3 linked regions of the Oryzias latipes genome follow. The protein of the gene in region 1 purifies or fractionates together with the protein of each later gene. This does not show direct contact. Links are inferred from orthologs where the notes say so. Each region holds a gene or a part of one and is shown in the gene's direction. Other genes may lie near its edges.

Region 1 (6,366 bases):
AGCAGCTATAATGATGTTGTGACCTTAAAAAGACTCATTTTGGATACTGTTTACTATTGCATCAATTTTATTGTGAGAATGAAAAAAAAAGCAGAAAATTATAATACGATGTAAAAAAAAGAAACTCATTGTCCTCAACATGTAAACAGTTTGTGTTGCAAATCATATTTGCAGAAGTAAATATTGCTGAATGCAAGCTCAGAAAAAATACTCTGCTGTTTTTAGTTTTTTAACCAAACCTACTTTTCTATCACAATTTTTATTAATTTGTGAGGAAATCTCCACATTTTTGATTAAAATGTGTCATTCTCTTTGGCAACTTTTGCATTTTTTATTGACAGCCAAAGAAAATCTGCTTCATCTTTTTATGCCCTGTTCTCATTTGTGCAGCAACATTTTCATTTAGCTAGAATACAAAATAATTCCCACGTCTATGACATTTCTCGTAAACGTCATGGATGTTCCAACAGCACCACCATTCACTGGTATTATAATGAACATTTTTTATAAATTCGTGCTGATAATATATTTTTGTGCTTATTGAAAAAGAACCTCTTAATTAGCATATAAAATGATTGTCTTATCCTGATGAAGGAGTTCTCCACAATTCTCCCCTTTATGTTTTTTTAAAACAGGTGCCTCCTAACAAGCAAACACCTTTTACAAACAGAGATAGAATCAATAATACAAGTTAGGTTATTTAAGAAGAAAAGAACAAAACAAGAAAGAACAAAAGTACATTAAACAACAACACAAAATATTCTACTGAGATTAAAAAACACATTTTGAATCCATTTTGAACATGTTTTTTTCTGCATCTTGTCATATTAATTGGGAATAAATATAAATATATTAATTGTCTAGATAAGACAATGTATCGCAACATTTTTGTATTTGATTATAATTTAATTTGAAATGATTTATTTCAAGCAATCAAATAGTAATACACAAAAAACATTACAATCATCAGATATACATTTATACAATGACGTATCAAACTTAGGATAATTAGACATAAAATTAAATCTTGCTTGAAAGGAAGTGGAAGGAAGCGAATGTATATAATCCCACCCCTGTTCTACCGTCACCATTTCATTACATGATTTATCATTATCCGGTTCCTAACTTTTATCAGACAGAATTAAGAATCCTTAGGTATCAATAAATCACATAGCAAAGATGAATTACTTAATTATTGTGTAAAAAAATCATATAATGTATTTATGAAATACCCAGGAACAACGGACAATTTATATATTTTTATGTTTATTTATCTTTACAATATTATGTACTTTTATATTGATTAATTTTATGTATTAAATGATTTACATTAATTGATATTTGTTGTATTTCTCTATAACAACTGAACTATCAGTCCTCTCGTTCATTTTAACTATTGGATTGAAACCGATTTATTTCAAGAAATTAAAAAACAAGGAAAAAATGAAGACAAATGATATAGATATACATCTATACATACAGATATCAAACTTAAGATGATTAATGATGATTCTTTGTTTGATTGAAAATAAAAAAGTATATGTAAAAGGGATAGATTCAAGAAATTATACGTATCCCGGGTCTGTTACGACGCTCGTGGCTGCAATTGCTGTTATGAATCAGTAGATGGCAGCATCACTTTCAGTGTCGCTTCAACGCTTCCTTATAGTTGCTTTCATGTAAAGAAGAAGAGCTGAGTTTCCAGAGAGCGTCTACAAAGCGAGATGATACAGGTTTCATAACATCATTGGAAGACAGGTTTTATTCTGTGCTGAATAAATGTTATAAGTTAGGCTTCTAACGCCAGCTTTGGGAAACATAATCTATTATGACAAACCGATTATAGGAAGAGCACCACGCAGTAAGAAGAGCTTAACAAATCACACTTTTATTAAGGGCGACTTAATATTTTTTCGCATTTAACTTTCCCGCAGCCGCGGTCTATCTTCACTCTGAAATAGTCTTTTCAATTACCCAGCACCCCTCTGAAACGTTTGACCTGTCTCTGGCCTTGGTGTGCAGTGCAGAGCTGCTAGTTGTCCGCGCTCGCCGGCTGTGGGATTAACCGTTAGTGGCTTTCTGACAGACTGCCCGGCTCGTGAAGTGGGATCAGGAACAGGAGAGCGGAGCCACGATGCTGAAATGTAGGACAGTATGGAGAAAGCTCGCACCTCTGGCTAAATCCTCGTCCACACTGTGCCGGCAGAACGTGAGAAGAGCAGGTCAGTGAAGTTAACGAGGTTCAGTATTGTTCAGTAGTTAGCTGGGACTCGTAAACGATCTTTATTATGGGTTGGATATTAGGTTTGGGTCTGCAGGTAAAACATAAAGTAGTTTGGAATCAGTTGAACTTCCCCGACCTTTGTTCATTAACAAGCTAACGAGCTAATCATTGAATGTTGACGTTGCTCAGAGACATTCGGCTAACCTGCACACTTGCAGCACATTTTTTGCTGGACTTAGAAGAAGACAGGTTGTGCGCATGCTCTGTTTTGACATTCTCTGTGTGAACTTCTTTGCACCTGACAGGTGTTGCAGATTTTTTATTTTAATTTTTTTTGTAATAGTTCGCCAGATTGTCTCATTGAAGTAGGGAGGAAGAGTTGTTCTGGCTCTAAAATGCATGTTCTATAGTCATGTCAAACAGAAGTCTCTATCTTCTCCATCAAACGTGTGATCAATTCAATGTTAAACACTCAAATTTGTTGTACATTTTAATTTGACTGTTTTTTTTTACTTCTATACTTAAAATGGAGAAATAAATTAACACCTAAACTGACTTCATCCCACCAGTTTGATTATTTTAGATTTATTTCTAAAGGTCTAACGGTTGAAGCATAGTCTTATTTTAAAACTTTGGACATTTTATTTATTTATTTATTTATTGTCCTGGTTAACGGTCTGTTGTTGTTTTGCTCAAACAACTCTGCATGAGATATGGGGTGTCATGTATTGTATGATGTCCTGTATGTGCAAATTTGTCAATAAAGTTCTCATAAAAAAAGGTCCCTTCAAGGTGTCTATCTAACTGCCTGTACAAATTACAATATAAAATAACTATACTGGGGAATTTAAAATTTAGGCATCCATTTGTTGTTATTATTTTTGTGTTTTGGTTTTGTTTTAAAATAAATTAAGACCTGACTTCTACTTTATTTCAGATGCCCATCAGGGTCAAGTGGGGTTTTGTACAGAACGAGGCTGTAAAACTAAATGTTTGTATCCCCCTTTAGGAAACTAAATAAGCCATAAACACCGTTTTCAGAGTGTGTAGGATTTCTTTCTTCATTTTTAAGAATGATCAAGGCTTGTTTTTGAAGAACTGCATGGTTAGTGCAGAGGTGTTGTGTTCTATTCAGGGATGATTTTCATTTCATTTTTTATAACCAGTTATTTCATTTCCATTGTGAAAGCATCTGAAGTAACTTCCTTTTTATTTGTCATCACTTTAGTCCTTCAAAACCTTTTCACATTCTGCTTTTCATCTGAATTTGACGACCTGTTTTTTTGTAATAAATAGATTTTTCAATTTCAAACAGCTTCTCTCACATTTCATCAACTTTGTTATGGTTTAGGGAGCAGGTATCTAAATCTAATTGTATATTCTGCATAATATGTCATTTATTGCACACTTCAACATCTATATTAGCATAGAAAACTGTTTCCAAATTTGGTTTGGAAAGAATAAAAACATTAACAGCAAGAGCGGCTACACTTAGAGTGGGTTTATTATCCTAGCTTCAAATGAAAAGTTCTGATGTGTCGTTTAGGTTTGAACAATGGCCGAACACCAGTGTGCGTTCCTGCAGCCCACATGTCCAGTGGGCCTGTGGGAGGAGGTGGAGACAACCTCAAGTATGCTCTCCTGGTTGGCGCAGTCAGCGTTGGAGGCCTCGTTTATGTGAGTGAACCAGACTATCATCAAGAGGTTTTAGTAATTGTGTTTTAAAAAATATACTATTCTGATCTGAAATAAGAGCGTCTTTATGCCATCCATAATTTGTGGAATGTTTTCAGACTCTCCGATGTTCTCCTCGAGACGTTAGAATGAGCTGCAGTCGTAAAGAGATGACTGTACAGAGTGGGACTCCTTCCTCTCTTGTGTGCACTTTTTTTTTTAGGCAGTTGTAACCATGAAGTCGGACCAAAAACGATACGAGCAGCGCATAGAAGAACTTTCCACCAGGCCACAGAAAACGTCCACAATACCTACAGCTGCACAAATCCAGTCAGAACCTCCTGGTGAGATGTTTTAGCTTTTCCTCCTCTAACCTCTAATCATGTCTGCTCTCATGTTGTGCTGGATATGTCGCTCACCTGACACTGAGGGGAAGATGATTTTTTGTGTGTGTTGTAGGAATAATTGGTAGTAAAGGTTGGTTTCACCCATGCTAAGGAAAAACATCCTTTCACATTATCCTCAATGTCTCTTTTTAATGAAACGGCTTTAGTTCAAGGTTATGTGGTGCAGGAGCAATCAGCTGACTGCACAACAGCTTCCTCTTTATCTAAACATAAACATTTGAGATATCCAGATAAACAGCTTTCACAATTGCACTGGAATCAGGGGTGGACCAGTGGAAATTATCACTCCAGCACATATCTAAGGCCTTACTGGATTTTAAAGATTTTTGAGGCAAAATGTCTTTTCTGTTTTCTTTTTTGTCAGCTGTTCCTGAGGACCAGCCTGCAGCAGCACCTTCAATAGAAGAGCCAAGCTCACCTGCAGAGGTTGAAGCCCCCAAAGAGGAGACGGCTCCTGAAACGACCACCCCCCCAGGTAGTCTGCAGACTGTATATTCTAACTCATGCATGCGCAGCCAGAACTCCTGTGTACCCCTTATCCCTTATTGGTATTACCAGTTCAAAGATACACTACATGCTGAGCATTAAAGTCCCACTCTGATCATCTTTTGAGCTGTTTTAAAAGCATTTTCAATGTTCTTTTAACTATGAATATGCCTTTGTAGCCAACATGTAAAAATCAGTCGTTTTCTAGGACATAGTTTCTGCTGAGCTCATTAAATATTTGCCTCCGAGTTGGCGCAGAGCAAGCCCACTCCCACTTCCGTCACCCATCCGTTTATACGCTCTCCCACTAGCTTACAGCCCCTCACAACCCCAACCTAACATTACAGGCACAACAAAAATGGTGAGTAATATCTGAGATATCCAGCCGTCTCGTCTTGAGCCAGATGCCAGTTCAGACGAGGAAAACAAAGACACACATGGATCTGGATTTTTCGTCTGTTCCCGATTCACCGATTCCCGATTGAGCTTAATTTTCTTTACATATGTCCTCCATTATCAGAAAAATGTCACAAGAACATATTAAAAACACCCAAAACACTATTTTTATCAGAGTGGATTTTTAATGCTCACAACCCCACACATATTTTTTTTCACCAACAAGACAATGTGGGGCTTGTAAGCAGCAGCACCCCTGGTAAAGGTTTGTCCCTACAAAATAACAGTTTTTAATGAGGCTTTCTGATCTTCCCATAACAACATTTTTTGTAGGTTACTGCACACACTCTGACCTCGCATGACCTTTGGAGTTGGTTTTCTGTTTAACATTGTAAACTAACCCATCATTGTTTTACTGCAGCCCTTGGCATTTTGTATATATTTGTCTGTTTTTTAGTTGGTCAAATTGTTGAATTTGTGGCTACTAGTTTAATGTATGTTGGGTTTTTTTTTGTGTATCAGTGTTGGCATGGGACTTGTATTGTCTTTAACTGTGTGTGAAAGTGTCTATTTAGAGAACCTAACTTTAAAATCTGCACGCTGTGAGTTTTGTTTTAGTGTTTTACATTTGCAGCTTTATCTGAGGATAAAGCATGTATCCTGGGGTTTGTCGTCTCTAACACCAGAAAAATTGGTTGTCAACTTGATTTCTTAACATGGATTGCTTCGACAGCAGATGAGCCCGTGGTAGAAGGGTCACCAGAAGAGGCGGCGGCAGCAGCTGCTGTGCCTGTTGTTCAGGAGGGTAAGACCTGAGAAAGAAAGATTACAGCACTGTCGCGCTCCATCCTCAGCTTGTTTCATCTTCTCTTTCTAATGTTTTTGGACATTTTTCTGCATCTTTGCCGCTGCTCTAACAGAGCCGCTAGTGTCCTCTGAGCCGCCCCCGGCGGTGGAGAGCGGTAAGCCCTCTGTCAGCCTCATGCATGACAGCACTGACATATTTCAGCCACAGATTCTGGGTGCCTATGTTTGTCTCATGTGAACTGTCAATGATCCAGTTGTACTAGCAGAACCCGCAGCAGCAGAACCTCCTGCATCAGAGCCTCCAGAGCCCCAACCTGAAGTTCTGGTAGAGAGTGGTAAGAATGTGGTCCAGTTTTGTTGGAGGGAAGCACT
Region 2 (6,353 bases), on another chromosome or scaffold:
AATTAATTTCTCCATGTTGTGTAACCAATGTTTCCAGAATGTTCTTCCTGAAAAGATTGGATTACTTTTCAGCTGTGGGTTTAACTGACGCCAGTCGGATGTCTATTCCAAGCACGCAGATTGAGTTCCACAATCCACAAGCTCTGACAGTGTAAGTGTTTAAAAAAAGCTTCAGGAGCATATCTAAGCATTGACATGTCTGCCAATAATGTCCAATGGACATATTCACATGCACCAAATACTTTCAGCTCACAAACAAATTATGCTTTTACATGGTATTTTAAGGTTTGTTTGGATAAAAATTGACATTTTTATTGATATAAGAAAAAATACTTTTATTTTGCTTCTTTTAATGTATCAAAAGGTTGTGTTTTTCCATTCATAAGGCATCAATAATAAAAATTCATGAATTAAAATAAAAACAAATGACAAAAAAAATGTAAAACTTGTCTCAAAAAAGATAGATACAAAAAGACAGATACAAACAAGGCTTTTTAATTTAAAAATAGTTTTCTTTTTTTCTGTAACCCATTTTCAAATTAACTTGAGGTTCTGCGGGATTACAATTTTCCCTTATTAATGTTTTATTTAAAATGTTAAAAATAGATTTTTATTTTGTCATATAAAACTTTGCAAACCTATAAAACACCATTATTGTGAATTTTAGCTATAGATTTTTAATCATGAAAATGATTTTTGATGTTAAGTGTTAGGTAGCCAAATATACCATAACTTTGGGTTTAATTGAAAACGTTATAAGTACTAGGTTAGTAGTTAAGTTGGAATGTTAGAATCTGAAGGTTAAAAAATATACGAACTTAACTTTTTTCAAGTCTTTAGTTATTTATTTTTCTCCACTTACACAGTTAATAACATTTTCAACAACACGAGTTAGTCTGGACAATATAGGATGGTTAAGAAATGATTTTTTTTTTATTCCCGAAAACTCTTGTAACATTTTTATAATTTCTTTAACTTAAGATTTGTTTAAAATCATTCACAAAAATAGCATGAAATTAATAACAGCTATAAAAACAATCTACATAATATATTACAAAAATAATAATAAAAGTAAATGCAAATTAATAATTTGTGATTATAATCTGAGACAAATAAAATTAAAACATCCAAAAAACATTAAACGACGATGAGGGGTTTTATTTTGAAGTTTCCCAAACGGAACTGGTATTTTGTCCTCCGGGATTTGACGGGCTTTTACACTGAAGGGGTTTGGTTACAAACAGTGAAGCCTAAAATTAGGGAGGCACCCCAACAGCAGATGACGCCACACAGCTAAAGTGGACCTTGTCGTCGTCGTTGCGTGTCCCCGATAACAGGACTCGGGGCCATGGAAACGTTCCCCGCGAGTTTCCCGCTGTTGATGACTCCGGGGGTATTTTTAGCGCTCGTTGTCATCTTTTCGTAACTGCCCCGGCGGCGGTGTTCAGTATAAAGGACCGTTGGAAAATGCAGCTGTACAACAGCGCGCTCACACACTACCCGAAGTCGTCGCGGAAAGTTACAATAACTCTGTCTGCAGCCCCCGAGCGCCTGAACGGGACGCCGCGAACTTCCTCCGAGGTCGACTTTGCCCAACTTGACACAACTTCGTCAACTCACGCCGCTCCGCCCGCGGAGACTTCTGGAAACATGCCCGCCTTTTCGTGCTACGAGGCTGCTTCTACCAGGAGGCCGCTTTACTTCACCTCCACCGCCGAGATATTAATCCGCCGACCCGACGGAGTGCAAAGGCCGGTTCCCATTCACATCATCCGACAGCCCAAACCCCCCTCAGGCCGCCCCCACAAGCCCTGCAGTGACCCCGACCAGGAGACCATGGTGGACTGGACAAACCATCAGACTGAGGAGGCAGGCTGCACAGAACTGCCAGGAGGATCTGCTTTTAAGAGGAAGAAAACCACTCAATCCACAGTGGAATGTAAGGAGGAGGATTCTGGACCTTATAGGAGCAACGGATGGGCGTCATTCCATGAAGAGGAACTGGCCCCCTCAATGGTTGCCATGACGAAGAACTTCAGAACAGAGGATCTATTTGACATGAACAGTATGGAAAGTACACCACCATCAGGGCAGAACCAGACTCTGAAGCTCAGTGTCCTGCAGGAGTCGCCTCCGCAGGGGTCCCAGCAGAGAGACCACAAAGTCAGCCGGTACCTGGCTGAGGTGGAGAAGCAGAACAAGTACCTCCAGGAGAGGAACCAATACAGGTACCACATCATTCCAGATGGCAACTGCCTGTACAGAGCTGTGTGCAAAGCCACGTACGGGGACCAGACCAGGCACGGCGAGCTGCGGGAGCAGACGGTGCACCACATCGCCGACCACCTGGACGAGTTCAACCCCATCATCGAAGGCGACGTGGGAGAGTTCCTGATCAATGCGGCGCAGGACGGAGCCTGGGCCGGCTACCCGGAGCTCCTCGCCATGAGCCAGATGCTGAACGTCAACATCCACCTCACGACGGGCGGCAGCTCAGAGAGTCCCACCGTCTCCACCATGGTGCACTACCTCGGCGAGGAGGACGCCTCCAAACCAGCCATCTGGTTAAGCTGGCTCAGCAACGGCCACTACGATGTGGTCCTGGGCCGATGTCTTCCCAACCCAGAGTACGAAGACTGGTGCCGGCGCTCACAGATGCAGCGGAAACGAGACGAGGAGCTGGCAAAGTCCATGGCGGCCTCACTATCGAAGATGTACATAGAGCAGAATGGCTGCGTGTGAGGCCACAGTCTGTTCCTGATGGATGCTGTGGACTCTGCTTGGTTGCTTTAAATTATTATTCTTTTGTAAGTTTTCTAAGTTTGTCAGAAAAAAAGTGCAGTGCACATCGCAGACCATCTTTATTAGCACTTGTCAACTATTTTTCCATTTCTTTGTGTTTGTCTTTTTCCAAGTGGCACATAGCTGTATTATAGCTGCTCTCTTTTGCACAAAAGTCCTGTCAGACTCGTTTGGGAGAGTTGTATTTTGTGCTGCTTTCTTGTCATTTATTCCAAATGTTTGGATTGTTTTCTTTTTATTTTAAATGAAGTTTGTTGGGGAAAAAAACATGTTTTTATTTTATAAGATTGTTTTAACAGTTTTATTTGATTGTTTCCATAAAACTGTCATTCAGCATCGATGATCATGTCTTTTTAGTCGCACAACACTAATCTTATACAAACCCTCCCTTTAAAGTGCAGCATGGTGGGAAGAGATAAGAGATGCACGCTGCACTCTGATGCTTTGAAAGGTTAAAAGTTATGTTCTAGCTTGATTAGCTGGTGTCTTTTCTCAACTTGTGTAACATAGTTTCTTCAGAGCGGCAGGAGTTCAATAGAAATCTGCCTCTGAGTTGTGTGGCAGCATTTCCCATCATCCCTTTGTTTACACGCTCTCACAATAGCTTACAGTCCCAACCTATTATTTACCGATGCAACAAAAATGGCGAGCAATACTGGAGCTATCCGGCCTTACAGTTTGAGCCATATGCCTGCTCAGATGAAGAAAATGAAGACATACGTGGATCTCCTAATCTGCAAGTGAATCCATCAGATTGGACAACATATTTTCTACATCACAAACACGCTCTCTTTATAACAGAATTCTTTGTGTGTTCCTGATTTACAACAATAAAGAATAAAATTTATTCTAAAGAATAAAGAAATACTCAGAAATACCCATTTTAACTAAGTTTTTCTTTACAAATGTGCTCCCATCATCAAAAAAGGGCAAAAGAACATGTTAAAAAAACTGTTTTAATCAGAGTAGGTCTTTAAAATGGGAAAAAAAGTTTTAAAGACAAAATTTTCTGCAGAGTATTCAGTTACACTGTCACCCTGTTTATCCATGTTTTCCTAGATTCTTTGTTGCATTAAAGTAATGTACCATTCATTCAAAATGTGTTTTGTTTCCCTGTGGCAGATGACAACCTCACCGTGTTCCCATTCCATCCACTAGATGGCAGTGTAGGCTCCTCACATCTCACCACACAGATGTTTTTTATTTGATACAAATTAGGACGGAAATTAAAGGACTTCAAACTATAGGGATTAGAAAAATGCTAGACATCGTTACTTGGCGTTGAAAGAAGCCAAATAGATGATAAACACTTTTTCCTCTTGCAAAAATACTGAAACTAATCAAATGTGCAGCTCAAAGAACTAAATAAAGGACAACACGCGCACAAAAGATTACCAGTCTAAAAATAAAAAGAACCTCAATACAAATACAATTTAGTTTAAGAAAAAAAAACAGAGAACTAACTAAATGCAACCAACATGTTAAACCAAAAATAATTAAAGAGTTTGAGAACATTTTACAGGTAAAACAATATGTAATAAAACAATAAAAGTGCGCCAAAAGGCACGTGCAAGTGAACCAAGTGCCAATAGAACGGTATAAATAAATAAATACAATCATAAAAGATACGTTTTCTCTTCATCTCTGAACAGCGATGACGTCACTCTGCGGGCACTAATGCGGGGCAGAAAAGTTTTCATGTTTGTTGATGCGGGAAAGGAATAGTGGACGCCCCCTCTTCCCCAGCTCGATTCAGACCCGTTCAGAGCAGGGAGAAGAAGGCGTGCAGGTACAGCGGACCGTCACCGAGCGCACAGCTGGCACGCGCATCGGCGCGCGCGGACAGCCTTTCTTTATAAAAATATAAATCCACGGGTGCGCGCCGTTACGCATCTGAGCGGGGATCCCACGCGCAAAACGCAGCGGCACCTGAACGCATCCTCAAAAAGTTCTCGCATACTTGAAGAGGCTTTGACCTGCGGGGGGAAGAGCGGACATGTCGGGGCACCGGGTGCAGTTTGCGGACCTTCCTCCGACTGAGCACAAAGGGAGTCCAAAATTTCACAGTAAGAGATCATTTCTTTGGCTGCTTAATTTGGTTCAGATGATGAACTCTACGCGGATGAATAAGGGAAAATTCTCCCTTCTCAGGCCAGGGAAGGGAAACTTTTAAGAGCTTTATTTAGACTACAAGTCATTTTTAAACTCTACTTTAGCCTTAATTTGAAAAAAACGCAATTGATGCGTAATTTTAAAACTAGAGTTGAATTTTTATCTTATTTTCTGTCTAAAATGTTAGAAATAATACAGAATATTTTTCCCCATTACATGGCTCCTCTTAGCAGAGTATTTTTCTTTCTATGCGTGACTGTGCTGAGTCTCACCTCTGATCTCCTCCACTTGGAGATCAGTGCTGTGATGCCATTTGCCCCACTGTTATTATCTGAAGTGGCAGTTGCCCTTTTCACACTGCTGCTAACTTTCTTTTCTTTTGGCTCCTTAAGTGAGAGAAGCAGCTTCCTTTGAGCTCACCTTAAAGGGACTTTTTCCATTTCCTGCTTCTGTGTTTTTGGATCAATAAAATACAAAGATAAAGCATGTGGTTGTGTTGGCCCTGGAGGTGTGATCGTATCCGACTGGGCTGCTGTGTCTTCATTACAGCTCAAGAAAAATCCAAACTTATCTCCATGATGACAGGTTCGATTGGCAGAGCATGTAAATGAGGGCATGGTGGATAATTGCTAATTTGCTGCAAAGCCCTTTGGAAGCCCATCTTTACCTCCCTCCGGCTTCATGAAGTTCGTGGCTGAAGCCTTTCTGTTCGGTTGCAGGTTTTTTTTTTTGTGTGTGCAGTTTGGACAGTAACATGTGTGCAGACTGCAGGGGCAGAAGTGCTGATGGCAGTTGGAGCTCAGATTGTATGCAGGGAGTGTGGGGATGATGTGTAGAAGGGCACAACAGCAGCTTCAGCAGCAGCGAGCCACACATTCTGACTCAGCTAATCTGTTTTTCCTGCTGCATAGAAGCAAGCGACAGGGGTCAAGTTTCAGTCTTTTCCCTCTCGATCTTTGTGATGCACAAACCTGAGCAACATACTATTGCATTGTAGACTTGGAAGATGTTGCCAAAAAACACATTTTTTTCACTTGTTGTGAAATTGCAGATAAAAAAGCACCTCTGGCATGAAAGTAGGGCTGGGGTCTAACCACACTTCCTTCATTTACGCTGTGGCTGATAGTGATCTTTGTGCCACACTAAGGCAAGTCTGCAATGAGTAAGCTTGCCAAATCTTTGATTAAATCTGTACATTGATTAAAAATGTACGTTTAAGATTTACCCAAGATTGCAATTGAAGGCCAACATAATCTGTCCAACCTTGTTTGAACGGGCTAGGATTGTTTTTTGTATTTTATCGTTTTAAGCGAACCAAAAGGTTTAAAAAACAACCTTACCTGGCGCCAAACCCTGACGGGAATAATTTAAAAATTGTAAAGCAAAAACTAGCTACATTTGTTTGTCCTGTGACATACATGTTAATTAGCTTCTATACT
Region 3 (6,600 bases), on another chromosome or scaffold:
ATCAGAAATTGGTTAATTGAAAGATTATTTCCTGGACGATAGAACAAAAATAATATATTACAGAAATGTGAACAAAATGTTGTTTCTAAATTCAGAACCAAATTCATGAAACTTCCTATTCTCCCAAAAGTTAAAGAAACACACTTCAAAATTATGAATAATATTCATCCCTCCAAAGAATTACTTAGATTACGTTTCAACATTGATGACAACAGCTGTTCCTTCTGCCAAACTGCTGTTGAAGACACCGACCACATATTTTTCCTGTGTAGCATTGTACACATTTTTTGGTTAGATGTTTACAAATAGTTGAAAAATAAATTCCCATTCATTGTGAACCTTTTTTTAAAAAGAAGTCATAATTTTCGGCATATCACTACACAAAAATGTATTTATTTATGTATCAATACCATTTTATGAATAGTCAAGTTTTTTATACACAAAAACAATTACAGAAATGTCACCCCAACATTACCTTCTTTAATGCAGAAGTCAATTTATACTTAAAACCCCTAAGATTAATCAATTTACCAAAAGCATAACAGTTTATGATATTCTGAGCGATACTATCTGAGACGGTTTATTTAGTCATTGTTGTACCAACCAGCATTTGGTGTCACTATTAAACTCTGAAATTGTTGTTTTCTTGTGTCTTGTGTATTTGCACGTATATGTATGCATATTGATAAGTACTCTATTTTATTTTGTTTGTGCTTCCTTTTCAATTGCTATATTCTTTCTACTAGTATCCACCATATTTTGGGATGTTTTTGGTTTGTGTTCGATAAAGTTCTTTAAAAAAAAAAAAAAAAACTCTGATTCAGCATTTTATGTACTCTTCCTGTTTCAGAAATGTTATAAACTGTGTACTTATTTTGCAATAACCTTCGATCCCACTAGAGAGCCCTATTGCATTGCAGATGAGCCAGAGACTGTACTTCTTCTGACTATTGTATTTGTGTTTTGTTAGGGCTGTACCAACTGAAGATGGTGGACACACAAGCATCCTGAAAGCCTCAAGAGGCTGATGGCGTGGTTCAAACAGGTAATGTGGAGCATCAATCAGGAATGAAAAGATTTCTGTGTCACTGCTATTAATTGTATACACACATGACGCCTCTGCAGGGAAAACTGCAATGTCGGGAGCACGTCACCAAAGGCTTTGAAAACATGCCAGCTGCTTTTAAGGGGATGCTGAAAGGAGACAACACTGGCAAAGCCGTTGTTGCTGTCTGATGGATGACCAATAAAGGTCTTTACACAATTAATGAAGGAGGATTTTACATATACTGCACTGAAAAATAACTACAAGATATGTATTGTCTTTTCAGTGTTTAGTGAATTAATTTTATTTTTAAAATACATATGTGTGAGATATGTCTGTATTTCTCAATAGAATGTAGTTTTATTTAAATTGTTTAGTATTTTTCTCTTTTTTTCCCGGACAAACGTAAATAAAAAGATTGTTTTCTTACAGCTGTGACACGGCTTCTACCTGAACGGGGAAAAAAATCCAAAAGTGACATTTGCTTGTTTTACAGCGACATAGATAAAACTGTAACCAGATATTGTTGTTTATTCTATAATAAAGGTTGTTTTTGGTCTTTATTGATGTATGCTGGTATTGCATGCATTGCCTAACTGATTTGAACTTGCATCATATTTTAAAGAATGGAATTATGCAAAGATACTTTTAAAAAATGTTTTAAGGTCTAAATTAGGCAATTCTTAGGCTTCAAATGAAGTTTCCTTATTTTTACGATAGAACCTGTTGGAACATTCACATATGTAGTCTAAATACTCAAATTCTTTATTCAAATATGTAAATGGAAAAACAAGTCTTTGTGTACCATCTTTTAGAATTAATCTTCTGATTAAATCACTTCCCTAAACTTATTCCAACCATGATCAAACTGCAATAATTTGTCTAAATATTGCAATTTTTTGTTATAGTATGGACTTTTCTGTTTATTGTTTACCCCTTACTTTAGTTGTAAAAGAATAAACAAATAAAGTCTTTTTAAGCTATTACGTAATAAGACTAGTGCAGGGGTGTGGCCTCATGGGCGTTGACCAGAGTTTGTACAAGGAAATATGGTCTGCAGTGACCATGTTTACGGTAGTACAGAAATTTGCCAAGTCATTGTGATTCGACTGTCTGATCAAGCGTTGACGGAATTAAAAACAAAAAAAGTATTTCAACTTACTATCGATATAATTCTCTAAAAGGACGCGTTATTGTTAGTAGATTAGTTTTGCAAGTTATTTTAAGCCGCAACGAAACAACAACGAAGCACTAACGGGCCTCAGATATATATAGCCTGACATCACCGATTCTGTAGTTTTTATTCTCAGTAAAGAGCTAAAATATTTGCAAGAATCCAGGAAAGGAAACCATTCTGTTTATAACTTTCAAAATAAAAGTATTTTTCGTGAAGCTTTACCAGTAATAACACAACTGCTGATACAACATGAAATCAAGTACGGTTACAACACATTTCATGCACAATCATAGTGGCAATGACGTATACACACGGCGTTCTTTTAATATAAATGATTCGCTTAAACATAAAAGACTGGCTTTTATTTTGTTAGTCAACCCATCAGCTCTTCCGCTGCGACGTGTTAGTCTGACGCCGTTATAAATAGGGCAGGTCATCCTCTTTGACTGAAAGTGTGGTCTTTGCGAAGCCGCTGTCTTTTAGATTCAGCGAGAGTTTGCCTTTTCAAAACAGCAAACATGGTCCGTGAAGTGGCTGATCTTGTAAGTAGTTCTATAAATACAATTAATCATGTCTTTATTTATTTCGCTGTACTACTACATACATTCAGGACAGCACAGTTGACGTTAGGTAGCCGCGCGGTTATTTTCTCAGCAAGCTTCTATCTACTTACCTTTTTTGCAAGAAAAAAAAACCCTGTTAAAGCATTTATTCGCTTAGAGTTAGCATGTTTATTGTCGTTGATGGAATAAATTACTCCGACAGAATAACTCTGGAGGCTGTATTGCTAATGTTTAGTTGTTTTTTCTTTTTTTCCATTTTCTACCCATGATGCACGAGGGCGGACTTTGCTATCTTGTTGCCGCGCGAACACGTTGCCAGGGTTACAAGTTTTCGGAAAGGTTTTACCGTTAACTAGATAAAAAATCTTTTAGTAATACACCAAAAAAACGTTCCTATCATGGCTCAGATGAGCAGAAAGCTACAATAAAGTACTAGTTTGAGTAAAAGTCAACTCCTATTTGCGACACTTGGACCATTCCGCTAGGCCTCGGGCCGCCTCTGTCCGTGTGTACACATGCCTGGATGTCAAAACTGCTGAAATCATTCAGACTTCTGGGTGTCACTGGTTGCGTCCGAATTCCTTCACTAATCACTACAAAGTGCACTGTGCGTTCGCCATTTTGTAGTGCTGTCCGATTCTACAATTCCAAAATCGAGTGCCCTGCAAATTTCCCAGAAATCTCCGCAAAAAAACAGTGTGCATCAATGCTCACTAGATCTGTGAATATAGATCACAATGCATGGCATCAAATCTATTTTTGCTTAAAAATGTATTTAAATGTACTTTCTGAACAACCTGTCAAGTGTTTTTATCTTCAGAAGACTGATAAATGATCCTCGCAAAATGCTCCTATCAATTAGATTTTAACTTCGTGAAATCGATGACGTCATATCCGCCGTAAATTAAAAAAAAAAGTAGTGGGCATGGTGTCCAAATTGCTTTTAAGTCGGTGCACTCTATAGTTTTTTTTAGAAGTTGGGGGTTAGGGTGGGAATTCAGATACAGCGACTGCTTTTGATCTGGGGCTGTTCTGCTAATCATTAGCCAAACCTTTGATAACCACTTATCGTTACACTATGGGAAAGCCTGCTGACAAAATGAAGTAATTTATTTAAACGAATTCTTTACCTTTATGCTTATTTAAAATAAATGATGGAAACATGCTTTTTTTGTAGGCAGAATTCAAGAAAATTCTGGAAGACGCTGGAGACAAGCTGGTGGTTGTGGACTTTACTGCATCATGGTGTGGGCCCTGCAAACAGATTGCCCCCTTGTACAAGGTAGATAACTGGAGCTTAAAGACTTGATCCGATGAAAATGTTTTTAACATGTTTTTGTGCCCATTTTCTGATAAAGGAGAACATGTATAAAGAAATTTAAGCTTAAAAATGCATTTCTGAGTACTTCTTTTTCTTATTGTGAATCAGTCACAGGCAAGAAAGGACAGTTTTGACAGAGCTTGTAGTTGTAATGTAGAAGCTACAATCTGCAGGCCACAAGCTCCCTGCTCCACTCCATACTGATGCCTCTACTTGCAGACAAATGGATCCATGTACGTCTTTGTTTTCCTCGTCTGAGCTGTCATCCGGCTCAAAACTGTATGCCTGATAGCTCCGATATTGCTCACCATTTTTGTTTCACCTGTAGTGTTAGGTTGGGGGTTTGATGGGCTTTAAGCTAGTCGGAGAGCTCGGAAGTTACAACCCCTCTCTGTCAACCGTCCCAACCAGCGAATAGAAACAGGGGGACCAATTGAAAACGGTGTTTAAATGTAGATGCATTGTTACTATGGCAACCCTATAAGGTTTACCTCCCCACTTCAAGGAGAGGAAGTGCTTGTTCACAGGAAATGGTCCAACACACACCCAGTATGATTTTTCAGTAAAAGTGCTCTGTTTCTGTAGAGTTGAGTCTAATGTACTGTTGTTGTATGTACTTGTTGTCTTGCAGCAAATGTCGGAAAGCGATGACAACAAGAATGTGGTTTTCCTGAAGGTGGATGTGGACGAGGCTGATGTGAGTGTGCACGTTCTCCTCCTTGGCCAGTACAAACTAGCTTTGTTTTAATGGGCAAAACCAGCTTTTGTTTTTAGTCTCTCTACTTTATGAAAGCGTTAGGTTGCAATTGGGGGCCAGCAACAATAATTACTTAATAATTGTATTTTTATTTTTTTTAATTTTGATTCATAAAAAAAAACTGTTGCTTTTTCTCTTTCAGGATATCAGCAGTTTCTGTGAAATTAAATGCATGCCTACATTCCACTTCTACAAGGGGGGCAAAAAGGTAAGTAACTGAGTGCAGTAGTTGAAAAGTTTATAACTTTTTACAGAGGTTCTGATGACTTCCTTTAAAAAAAGAGACCCTGTGTCACATGGGATCATTAAGAGAGTCTTACTGTATTTTTCAAACCATAAGGTTATCTTAAAATCCTTGTATTTGTAAAATACTATTTATAAATTGAGTGTACTTACTGCCCTCAAATTGATTTCCTTTGGTACATGGGGCCCAAAAATCTGCCAAAATGTTTTAGTTTGACTTGTGATGCGTCCCGTCTGTCAAATGTTGTGGAATGAGTTGAATGAAGTTTAAGTTTACTTTGTCTTTTTTGCTATTTAAAAGGAAAACCTCTTTGTCTTTCTTTAACCAGAGAGCCATGTGTGCCCTGGTTTAAGTGATCCCTGTTTAAGCCCTGTGTAAGCTTGACTTAAACAATTAAACCAGCCTGGAAGCCCTAATGTCCATCCTGCAGTAGCAGAAACGGCTAGTTTTTGTTTGCAAATATTAGATCTCACCTTTTCAACTTCTGTCATTTTTTTATGTTTTTATTTTTCCAGGTGGATGAGTTCTCTGGTGCCAACGTTGCAACCCTGGAGGAAAAGCTGAAAGCACTGAGATAGGAGTAGAAGTCAGACTGACCAGAGCAGAAAATAAAACGCATAACTGATAAAGTCTTCACCTCATAACACACCCAAAGAAAGAATTGCAGCTAAGCGTCATGTTTAACTGCTATCAAGTTTTGTTTTTTTCCCCAATGTTGGCACTAACTTGTCATCTATCCTGAGTTGAACAGTTTGTGTACTGCATTTACTTCAGTCCAGGTTTTATTTTTTTATTTTTTTTTTCTACTCTAACCATTTATGAAGTTTGAGTAATCCATGTTACCTCTGTATGGATTTAATAAATGAATCAAACCCTAAACTGCCCGACTACAAAGAGCTTCTAATAGCATTTAATGCTTTAATAGAAATGTGACAATAGTTTACACATAAACACTGGAACGGTCACATCAATCTTTTTTTACACATCATACAAGTATATATAGCAGCGCATGTTTAATACTGTTAAGTCTTTATATGAAAAAATACAGCTTTAAATTTACAAACTGGTTCTTTTTTTGACTTTGAAGAGAAATGAAAAGTTGGCAAGAGTCCAGAAACTATACAGGAAATCCCTTCATTAGATGATTCACATGGAGGTGACTGGAACCTTTAGAAATGGTAGTAAACAGATTTCCTCTTCCTGCAGGGAAGAAGAAAAAAAAAGGTTTTAGCACAAATAGCTTAACATCTGCGTTCAAGCAGAATTTGAAAAAGTTTGAATAAAAAGTGATTTTTTTTTTTCCTATGGAATAAATGCAAATATTATTTTACTTAATTGTGAATCTTAAGGTGCCACTGAAGGTATTAAAGCACGTTTTTAAAAAAATACTTTCAATGTTTGAACTTTTAAGTACAAAAACGAACTCAGAAAAGGGGTTTTTACATGAAAAGCCCTCAGGACCCTTTAGGTCCTCTGGCACGGGCCTCTAGATT

What was found.
Region 2: the proteins of aifm1 (region 1) and otud1 purify together in Homo sapiens (affinity purification with mass spectrometry; 3 studies listed by BioGRID, with this or other methods). This does not show direct contact. The link is inferred for Oryzias latipes from reciprocal best matches to the Homo sapiens genes AIFM1 and OTUD1.
Region 3: the proteins of aifm1 (region 1) and txn purify together in Homo sapiens (affinity purification with mass spectrometry; 3 studies listed by BioGRID and IntAct, with this or other methods). This does not show direct contact. The link is inferred for Oryzias latipes from reciprocal best matches to the Homo sapiens genes AIFM1 and TXN.

Annotation. Positions count from the first base shown.
Region 1 is NC_019872.2:16,889,024-16,895,389, forward strand, and holds the start of aifm1 (apoptosis-inducing factor 1, mitochondrial), read left to right. Parts: upstream 1-1,928; 5' UTR 1,929-2,134; coding exon 2,135-2,222; intron 2,223-3,770; coding exon 3,771-3,901; intron 3,902-4,121; coding exon 4,122-4,242; intron 4,243-4,669; coding exon 4,670-4,780; intron 4,781-5,920; coding exon 5,921-5,992; intron 5,993-6,107; coding exon 6,108-6,149; intron 6,150-6,248; coding exon 6,249-6,329; intron 6,330-6,366. UniProt on the Homo sapiens protein: Functions both as NADH oxidoreductase and as regulator of apoptosis.
Region 2 is NC_019878.2:19,215,187-19,221,539, reverse strand, and holds otud1 (OTU domain-containing protein 1), read left to right. Parts: upstream 1-1,176; 5' UTR 1,177-1,467; coding exon 1,468-2,742; 3' UTR 2,743-3,893; downstream 3,894-6,353. UniProt on the Homo sapiens protein: Deubiquitinating enzyme that specifically hydrolyzes 'Lys-63'-linked polyubiquitin to monoubiquitin.
Region 3 is NC_019876.2:18,249,070-18,255,669, reverse strand, and holds txn (thioredoxin), read left to right. Parts: upstream 1-2,543; 5' UTR 2,544-2,740; coding exon 2,741-2,764; intron 2,765-3,962; coding exon 3,963-4,067; intron 4,068-4,737; coding exon 4,738-4,803; intron 4,804-5,005; coding exon 5,006-5,071; intron 5,072-5,622; coding exon 5,623-5,685; 3' UTR 5,686-5,986; downstream 5,987-6,600. Other genes in the region: svep1 (sushi, von Willebrand factor type A, EGF and pentraxin domain-containing protein 1), read right to left, coding at 6,277-6,307. UniProt on the Homo sapiens protein: Participates in various redox reactions through the reversible oxidation of its active center dithiol to a disulfide and catalyzes dithiol-disulfide exchange reactions.